Linked DNA regions of Arabidopsis thaliana. The protein of the gene in region 1 interacts with the protein of each later gene in a pairwise test. Each region holds a gene or a part of one and is shown on either strand. Other genes may lie near its edges.

The links.
Region 2: the proteins of SAG18 (region 1) and RABA1c interact in a protein complementation assay, tested with the Arabidopsis thaliana proteins (one large-scale study listed by BioGRID).

What each region holds. Positions count from the first base shown.
Region 1 is NC_003070.9:26,832,709-26,836,746, reverse strand, and holds SAG18 (senescence associated gene 18), read left to right. Parts: upstream 1-1,686; 5' UTR 1,687-1,764; coding exon 1,765-1,891; intron 1,892-1,987; coding exon 1,988-2,090; intron 2,091-2,162; coding exon 2,163-2,283; intron 2,284-2,373; coding exon 2,374-2,495; intron 2,496-2,580; coding exon 2,581-2,702; intron 2,703-2,807; coding exon 2,808-2,967; intron 2,968-3,037; exon of another isoform or gene 3,038-3,059; coding exon 3,060-3,150; 3' UTR 3,151-3,341; downstream 3,342-4,038. Other genes in the region: AT1G71200 (basic helix-loop-helix (bHLH) DNA-binding superfamily protein), read left to right, coding at 1-134, 682-774; AT1G71180 (6-phosphogluconate dehydrogenase family protein), read right to left, coding at 3,456-4,038.
Region 2 is NC_003076.8:18,557,162-18,561,640, forward strand, and holds RABA1c (RAB GTPase homolog A1C), read left to right. Parts: upstream 1-1,898; 5' UTR 1,899-2,156; coding exon 2,157-2,377; intron 2,378-3,048; coding exon 3,049-3,478; 3' UTR 3,479-3,784; downstream 3,785-4,479. Other genes in the region: AT5G45740 (Ubiquitin domain-containing protein), read right to left, coding at 1-82, 166-288, 894-936; AT5G45760 (Transducin/WD40 repeat-like superfamily protein), read left to right, coding at 3,960-4,067, 4,170-4,266, 4,357-4,418. UniProt on the Arabidopsis thaliana protein: Intracellular vesicle trafficking and protein transport.

The DNA.
Region 1 (4,038 bases):
TGAAGAAAGAAAACGAAGATGAGTTCTCCAACTTGCTTCATGTAATGGAGGTGCAAGGTTTGAGTGTTTTAAGTGCTTCTACTTCTCAAGTTTGCCGAGAGCAAAGGGTGGTTTGCTACAACTTCCATGTCAAGGTACTGTGTCTCATCTTATCTTCTTCATTTCTCTTTAGTTTATGTTTTGATAGAATGGAGACAATGTGCTAGTCTTCATGGATATGAACAATGATGTAACTTTTCTTCTCCAAACAATACATGTTTAGGGTCCAAGTCATGGGAGGATTGTGTTTTAACTTTAGCTAAGCATTGAGATTATGTTAAGATTATATAACGTTTAGAAAAGATATAGGACTAATGGTTTATCATTAAGTTCATAAACCAATGGTTTTTGTTCTTAAGATATATTGATTCTATTGGTGGGAGAGAGACTGTTTCGACCTCAATGAACCTGGATTTGAGTGTAGCATTATGTATAAAGAGGGATGATTTACATATATTTGCATGTATTATCAATGGCTGATCCTAGATCTATGGACCAAAAACACTAAACTAAATTCAAAATTAGTTTTTAGCAATTCGATAGTATGGCACTAAAAAGTCATTGGATAGTATTTACATATATACATTGGATGTTCTTTTTTGAGAGAACTAACAATTGCAAAATGTATATGGGAAAGTGTAGATGGATGAGAAGCCATGTGAAGGTGATGACTACATCACAGTGTTAAAGAACAACATCATTTCTTCGCTTCGTGACAACACAAAGTGCAAATGATATATAGTGAGGTATAGAATCAACAGAATATCTTTGATGATGCATATCGCAACTTATAATATTCCTCTTCTTGCTTAGATCATGTTTGGTTTCGTGTTGGGAATCTCATAAATCATATATAGATGTAGAAGTTATGTTTATCTCCCTATGGTAAACCTCTTCTTAGTATGCCTCAAGATCACGATTTACATGCTCTAGTACCCGATCCGAGAGGATTATCTACCAAAGGCCCATAACTTGTAATCCAAATAGAAATTTCTTTGCGAAGCTAAAACTCAAGTTTTCCAAAACAAGTTGTTAGAATGCCGACTAAAGTTTCTTTATATAGGTTTAACAAGAAATGTATAACCTAAAGATTTGATCCCATGGCATAAAAAAAATAATAATTAAAAACATGGAAGCAAAATATATACAACAGATAGACTATGATCTTGCAGTCTAAAGGTGAGACCACTCTTTGATGGACCACAACCTCAACTTTCCGAATCAGCCGGCTTTTGTTTCAGGAGCCAAGAGAAAGACACAACAACCAAATCAAAAATGACAACACGGCTCCAAAAGAATATGGAGTTTGGCAAGGCTTACCTTTGCTATAAATAAGTTGAGCATTGGACTTGAAATAACTTTGTCTAATGAATTCTTACTTGTATTTTATAAGACGAAAACGTAAATCTTGCATTAAGAATTCATACAAATTTTCATAATTGATAAAATTCTTACATTATCGTACTAGAAATCGGAAATGCATTCCACCATTATGCGTGTTAGTACTAATCGGAGTTTTAACTTGTACTAAATTTAACAAATATGACGGAGAGAGTTGAAAGCTTATCACAATGGCATTTACCGTTTTGCCCTTGTCGTTGTAATTTCAACATTTCCAATTTCTTAACGCCTTTACTGACATCGACCCCAAAAAGAAAAAAAAAAAAGAAGAAGAGTCAAACCTGAGAATCTCATCTCTCTCTGAAGTAGAAGAAGAAGAAGACGATGAAGAAGCGAACGATGTCCGCGTGGGGATCGGCGATTTTAATCTTCATAATACTTATGATCGTCACTCCCACAATCCCTCAATCTCAGGCTTACCACAATTTCGCCGATCAACGCTCCTTCCTCGGTATAAAATTCACACTCTTCTCTCATCATCATCATTTTCTTCTTAAATACCCTTTTGAATTTTTAGGGTTTTGATCTTACAAATCCATTTTCTCAGGGATTCCAAATTTTTTAAACGTCATCTCCAACTTCCCTTTCCTCATCATCGGCCTTATTGGTCTTATCCTCTGCTTTTACCCAGAAGATTACTTTAGCTTTAGGTGCGTAATTACATACTTCTTCTTTGTGAAATCCAGATTCAAATTAGTTAAAGTCTCTGTGTATTGAAACAGTTTGCGAGGTGAGAAAATAGGATGGACTTGCTTTTACATCGGTGTAGCTGCTGTTGCTTTTGGATCTTCTTACTATCATCTTCACCCAAACGATGCTACTCTCCTCTGGGATCGTCTTCCCGTACGCTCTTATTCTTTCTCTTCTCTTCTCTGAGATTTTGTTTGCTTTGTTTTGTTTTTGATCACTGGTTTCGATTGCTTTTTGGTTTAGATGACTATTGCTTTCACATCAATCATGGCTATATTTGTAATCGAGAGGATTGATGAGCATAAGGGTACTTACTCCATTGCTCCTTTACTTCTTGCTGGTCTTGTTAGCATTTTGTATTGGAGGTTAGTCAAATCCTTAAACTATCTCTAGTGGTTTTAGCGATACAATGTTGAGATAGAGTAAGCTGACATGAGGCTGTGATTGTAGGTTTTTCGATGACCTTAGGCCATATGCTTTGGTTCAGTTTGTTCCTTGCATTGTGATTCCGTTGATGGCTATTTTATTGCCTCCAATGTATACACATTCCACTTATTGGCTATGGGCTGCAGGTTAGTGCTTATTGTTGTGTTGATACATATTTAGTTTGCTTTGCTCTTGAAGCTTTGTTGTTACTTTCTGGCTCTTATTCTAGATTCAATTGTCTGGAATTGCAGGGTTCTATCTCTTAGCCAAGGTGGAAGAAGCTGCGGATAAGCCTATATATAGCTGGACTCATCATATTATTAGTGGGCATTCTCTGAAGCATCTGTGTGCCGCTATGGTCCCTGTCTTCCTTACCCTCATGCTTGCGAAAAGAACCGTTCAAACTGAGAGGTACATTTTCATCCTCATGTATATGAAACGACCCGACGTGGCAGACCCATATTCTTGTTCTCATTGTTTTACATCATTTTGTTAAAACACAGGATTAGCTTGTATAAGACATGGAAGAAAGGATCCGAGGAAGAACGGTTCGAGCATAGCTACTCCAACGTTGCAGTCGAAGAGACTCGGTAGATTATTTTGTTGACTCGTAAAATGTAAGATGATCTTTTTCTTTTGATAGTTTGTGTGTTTACGGTTACTGGCTAATAGAATTAGATATAGAAGGTACAGATTTATGATCCAGTTGGAAACTAATGTTAGCGATCTGTAATCTTATCAAAATGCTGCACTCTACCATTCATAAATGCCCTTTGTTTCTTATTGAGATTGGTGAGACTCGATGTTCTTCTTATTATCAACTTAAACCAAATCGAAGACAAGTTTGCCTAGTTGATCGTGAAATCATTGGAACACTCTGTTTTACAACACAAGTGTTTTCAGGATATGCCGTTAAGTCTTCTAATAACAGAGACGACGCCTTGAATACCTAACTTGCCATCTCCATTAGCCACCATTCCAGTGAACAACTGCTTGCTCAGAGCAGCACCAGGCATCGCCGCCTCTGCAGCCATTCCCAAATCTTTCACCATATACTCCGCAAAGCCAGTCGCCCTATAATCCCTCTTCACAATCATCTCCCCAAACAGCCGCATAACCGCCGATCCAGCTGCACCATCCTTCACCGCCTCGAGCCATTTCACTGTATCTAAACCCGCTTTCTCAGCGAACACTATCCCTTCAGCAAGTCCAACCAGGTTGCTCGCACCAGCAATCTGATTCCCTATCTTGCAGCTTTGCCCACTCCCTGCTTCTCCCATATAAGTAACAGTCCCTATATTCTTCATCACCGGGGACAACCACTCCACAATCTCTGAATCTCCGCCGGCGAAAATCCCTAACGTCCCCTCTCGTGCTCCAGCGTCTCCACCTGATACCGGCGCATCCACCGCCCAACAATTCCTACGCCTCGCTTCTGCGTGTATTTCACGCGCCAATCCTGGTTTGCTACTAGTCATGTCC
Region 2 (4,479 bases), on another chromosome or scaffold:
ACAATCACGCCTGCACTGTCAACAATAGTTTGTGCTAGTTTCAAGTCAGCTTCAGCAGCAGCTCGAAGTGCTTCCCATATCTCTGGTTTTCAGTAAATTTCGCTCAGTTTCCAAATGTACATAGTGCGATGCAGCAGATTACAAGAAAGAGAGATATATATATACCTCTTTGACCACCATAGTGTGGAGAGGTGTCCCAAAATTCCTCACGCATGTTCGTAAGTTGTGCCCTTGTGATTGGCTCAGTATGTGCCCACGGTTTAGGTTTCATGATTTTCTTCCTTTTTGCTGTGTCAAACGTACAAAACTCATAAGAGAATGATACAATATAAACTACCACCAATTTTAAAACAGTTCTTTCAGTAACACCAATATTATAGCCATCTACTTCAGAAGATCATCACAGTTTCAATTTCATCAAGACAACAAATACAGTATAAGGCAGAACGAATCAGATTATATTGTCTATTGTTCACAGAACAATTTTTCTTGGTAAAAATGGAATGTTATAACATTAGTAAACGGCCATTTCATTTCAATCATACCATCGATAACAACTTTCTCTGATCCAACATTCTAATTCTGAGCAGTAGAAACAATGTTGAAGAGCATTCTAATTCTCTGCTGAACTAATTCTGAGCTTCAAAATTTGGAATCTTTAACGAATCACAAACATGTCAACACCACAATAAACTGATATTTCCTTCGAAATCACTCCAAGAATCATAACATTTGCAAGATTAGTTCATGTTAACACCTCAAAACTAGAACTATCACCAAGAATCAAAACATTACAACACAAGTATAAATCGTAGCCCAAATTCTGAGAACAAATTCAGCGAGACAAACGGAGTGCGGAATTAAAGGTTTAAGAGAGTATCGATTCCACTAACCTCCGCCTTCATTTCTGGCCTGAGAAGATCCGATACAACCCATTCTCGAACCGTTGAGAGTCGCGTTTGATTAGGTGAAAATTGGAAGTCGCTTCGAACAAGTAAAGTAAATGCCAGTACAAACTCGACCGTCGGGAACGAAACGGAGAAAGATAGCCGCCGATAAGAGTTTCACGGCGGGAGAATCGCCGGAGAAGTCTGCAAGAGTCGTCTTCAAGGTCAAATTCTGTTTTGACTGCCAAATTAGGCCATGAATGTTTTGTTGATTTTGGTGGGTTTTTGGATTTTGGATTGTGGCTTTTGGTTTTTTGTTTTTGATTTTATGAGTTTTTGATTTTGGTGGAGATTTTAGATTTTGCAAAATCTTAAATGGTAACTTTTCTAGTTTTTGATTTTTATATAATTATTATTTAGAAACGTTTTAAAATTATTTATTTAAAACTTTATTTTTATTTTTAAAAACAAAAAAAAAAGAGTTTACGATAGAATTTGTTGAAAATCCCAAAAAAGTGAATTTTGGATTTTAAGAACAAATGACTAGAATCTTTTAAATTTTGAATTCCCTATAATTTAGGAAATTAACTTTTTACAAAATCATGAATGGATGAAAAAGTGGATTTTGTAAAATCAAAAGCCAAAATCAACTTTAAAAACTAGTACCATTCAAGGCCTTAGTTTGTTAGAGAGAAGAAAGTGAAAACAGATCTCCCCGATTTTATTTATAGTCACTTTACTTGCCACGTCATATTATTCTGGATTAGTATATTATATCTGTTTGAATTAATCGTCAGCGTCTGTAGTCCAACGGTTAGGATAATTGCCTTCCAAGCAATAGACCCGGGTTCGACTCCCGGCAGACGCATTCTTTTTTATCATTTTAATCAGTTTAGAAAAACATAAAAGATAAAGACAAATGTGAATTGACGAATACGTCCTCGTCTTTATCGAAGCGAGCAAGGTAATAGATCAGAACGCGTTAACAGGGCAGTTTAGTAAATTTGGCCACACAAATGTTAGATTTCTTTGTGATAAAGACAGTACACAAGTCCTTTGTCTTTCTCGTTTGATATTTTCCAATTCCGCGTCTTTCTCTGTTGAAATCGAAAAAATTTTCAAAACAAAATCTAAGGAAAAAAGAGCAACAAGTTTCAAATCTCATTTGGGTTTTTCATTTTGAAAAGAAGGACCCATTTTTATCTCTCTCTTTGTTTTGTTTTCTCGAATCTGAAGGAGTAAAGTTAAAAGCTTTGAAGGAGAGAATCAATGGCGGGTTACAGAGCAGATGATGAATACGATTACCTATTCAAGGTTGTTCTGATAGGTGATTCAGGTGTGGGCAAATCCAATTTGCTTTCACGATTCACGAAGAACGAGTTTAGTCTCGAGTCAAAATCCACGATCGGGGTCGAGTTCGCGACTCGGAGTTTGAATGTTGATGATAAAGTCATCAAAGCTCAGATTTGGGATACTGCTGGTCAAGAAAGGTCTCATCTTTTTCAACCACATTGTTCATTTCTCGATCTGGTTTCTTATATTAGAACATTTTGATTGAAGTTTTGGGGTTTATGGTTTTGTTTGGTTGCCAAAGACAGTAAATTTTCAGCTTAGGTTAGATCTGTATCAATTGATTTAGATCCATTGGTATTGATCACTTTTATAAGAAGAGATCTGGATTAGTATGTGATTTTGACAACTTGGGTTTTGTGTAAGATAGGAGAATCCTATGATTATGATTATAAAGTTATCAGCTTTATCAAATTTCTTCTGTTGTTTTTGCTATTTTAGGTTTATGTGAGAGAGCTTGATTGGTTTCAGTAACTTCATTTCTACGATTCTTAGCTCTTCTTTCTCAGATTTCACCTAAGATTCTTCAATCATTATCGATTTCTTCTGTTGTTTTTGCTTAGTTTATTTATGTAAGAGAGCTTGATTGGTTTTAGTTGGATTCTTAAACTTTCATTTGAAGCTTTTACTTGGTCTTAATTTCAAAATTGAAAAGCTTCTTGCTTTGTATGATTTGCTATTCTCCATTTCTCTGATCAGTTTTGTAAAGCGTGCATAGTCTGAATTCGAAACTGTAAAGCTTCTTGCCTTTTTTGTGTTCCTGATGTTTCGGTTAACTTAATTCTCTGTTTCGTTGACTTTGTTTCAATAGGTACCGAGCCATCACTAGTGCGTATTACCGAGGAGCTGTTGGAGCGCTTCTTGTCTACGATGTAACCCGACACTCAACATTTGAAAACGTTGAGACTTGGCTGAAAGAACTCAGAAACCACACTGATCCAAACATTGTAGTCATGCTCGTGGGCAACAAATCTGACCTTCGCCATCTCGTGGCTGTTCAGACTGAAGATGCTAAGTCATTCGCCGAGAAAGAATCTCTCTACTTCATGGAAACCTCGGCTCTCGAAGCCACCAATGTTGAGAACGCTTTCGCCGAAGTCCTCACTCAGATTCACCACATTGTGAGCAAGAAGGCGATGGAAGCTGCGAGCGAATCCGCTAATGTTCCATCGAAAGGAGACAAGATCGATATCGGTAAAGATGTTTCAGCTGTGAAGAAAGGTGGATGCTGCTCGAACTAATCAGAGAGTAGAATTATTGTTAACAACCTAAGGATCGGTTTTTGTTAACGGTTCTATCGAATATGAAGATTGCTTTTAGGTTGAGTAATGCCCATTTGGTGTATTTCTGTTATTTATCTGATCTATCAATGTTATTGTTTGAAAATGCTATGTCAAATTTTCAGAACCCTAAATTATATTTATCTCAAACAATAGAATTGTTGAAAAGAAAAGATAAAAATAGTTTCTGCCTTTGATGATTTCAGTTTGGTTGAACATAATTTTCGGTTTGATTTCGTTTCACCGTATCGGTTCATTTTGGTTAAGTGGTACTAAAATCGATTTCTGTTAGGTTGGAATTTTGTTGTTTCGATTTTTTTGGTACAAAACCGAAGGATTACCAAAATATCCGGTTTAGTTTTGGTTTGTTTCGGTTAGCCTTTTTTAGCTCAATTTAGAGCTTGAAACTGAGCAATCGCCGGAGAAACTCTCACTCACAGTTATGGCTACGGCAATGGAAGAGCCAAGGAAGCTGAGAGGCCACAAATCAACTGCCACTTGTTGTATAGCTTCTCGTGACCGGCCTGGAATTGTTCTCACTTCCGGCGAGGTTTCTTAATCTCTAATTCAAACCTCTTTTTTCCGATGAATTTAGGTTTCGTTATTGTAGTTACTTCGCAAGATTCATAGTTTTCCGATCATACGATTATAGGATGGTTGCATTTGCTGGTTTGATTTGCGATGTAAAGATGTTCAATTCATCATCGATGTTGGAACAGAACCAGTTTCATCTCTTTGTTTCAAGACAGGTTTTGTCTCTTTGTGTTTTGTCTGTTTCTCTCTCTTTCAATTTCTTCTCTTTGTTGCAATTTGGTGATAACTTTTATTTGATTTTTCAGGTAATGAGAACATTCTCTATGCTTCTTGTGGAAACGAAATCAAGTCTTTCGATGTTCATACGGTAATTTAAAATGTTCAAACTTTGATTAACTAACTATAACCATATCCTTCACTTAGTTTTA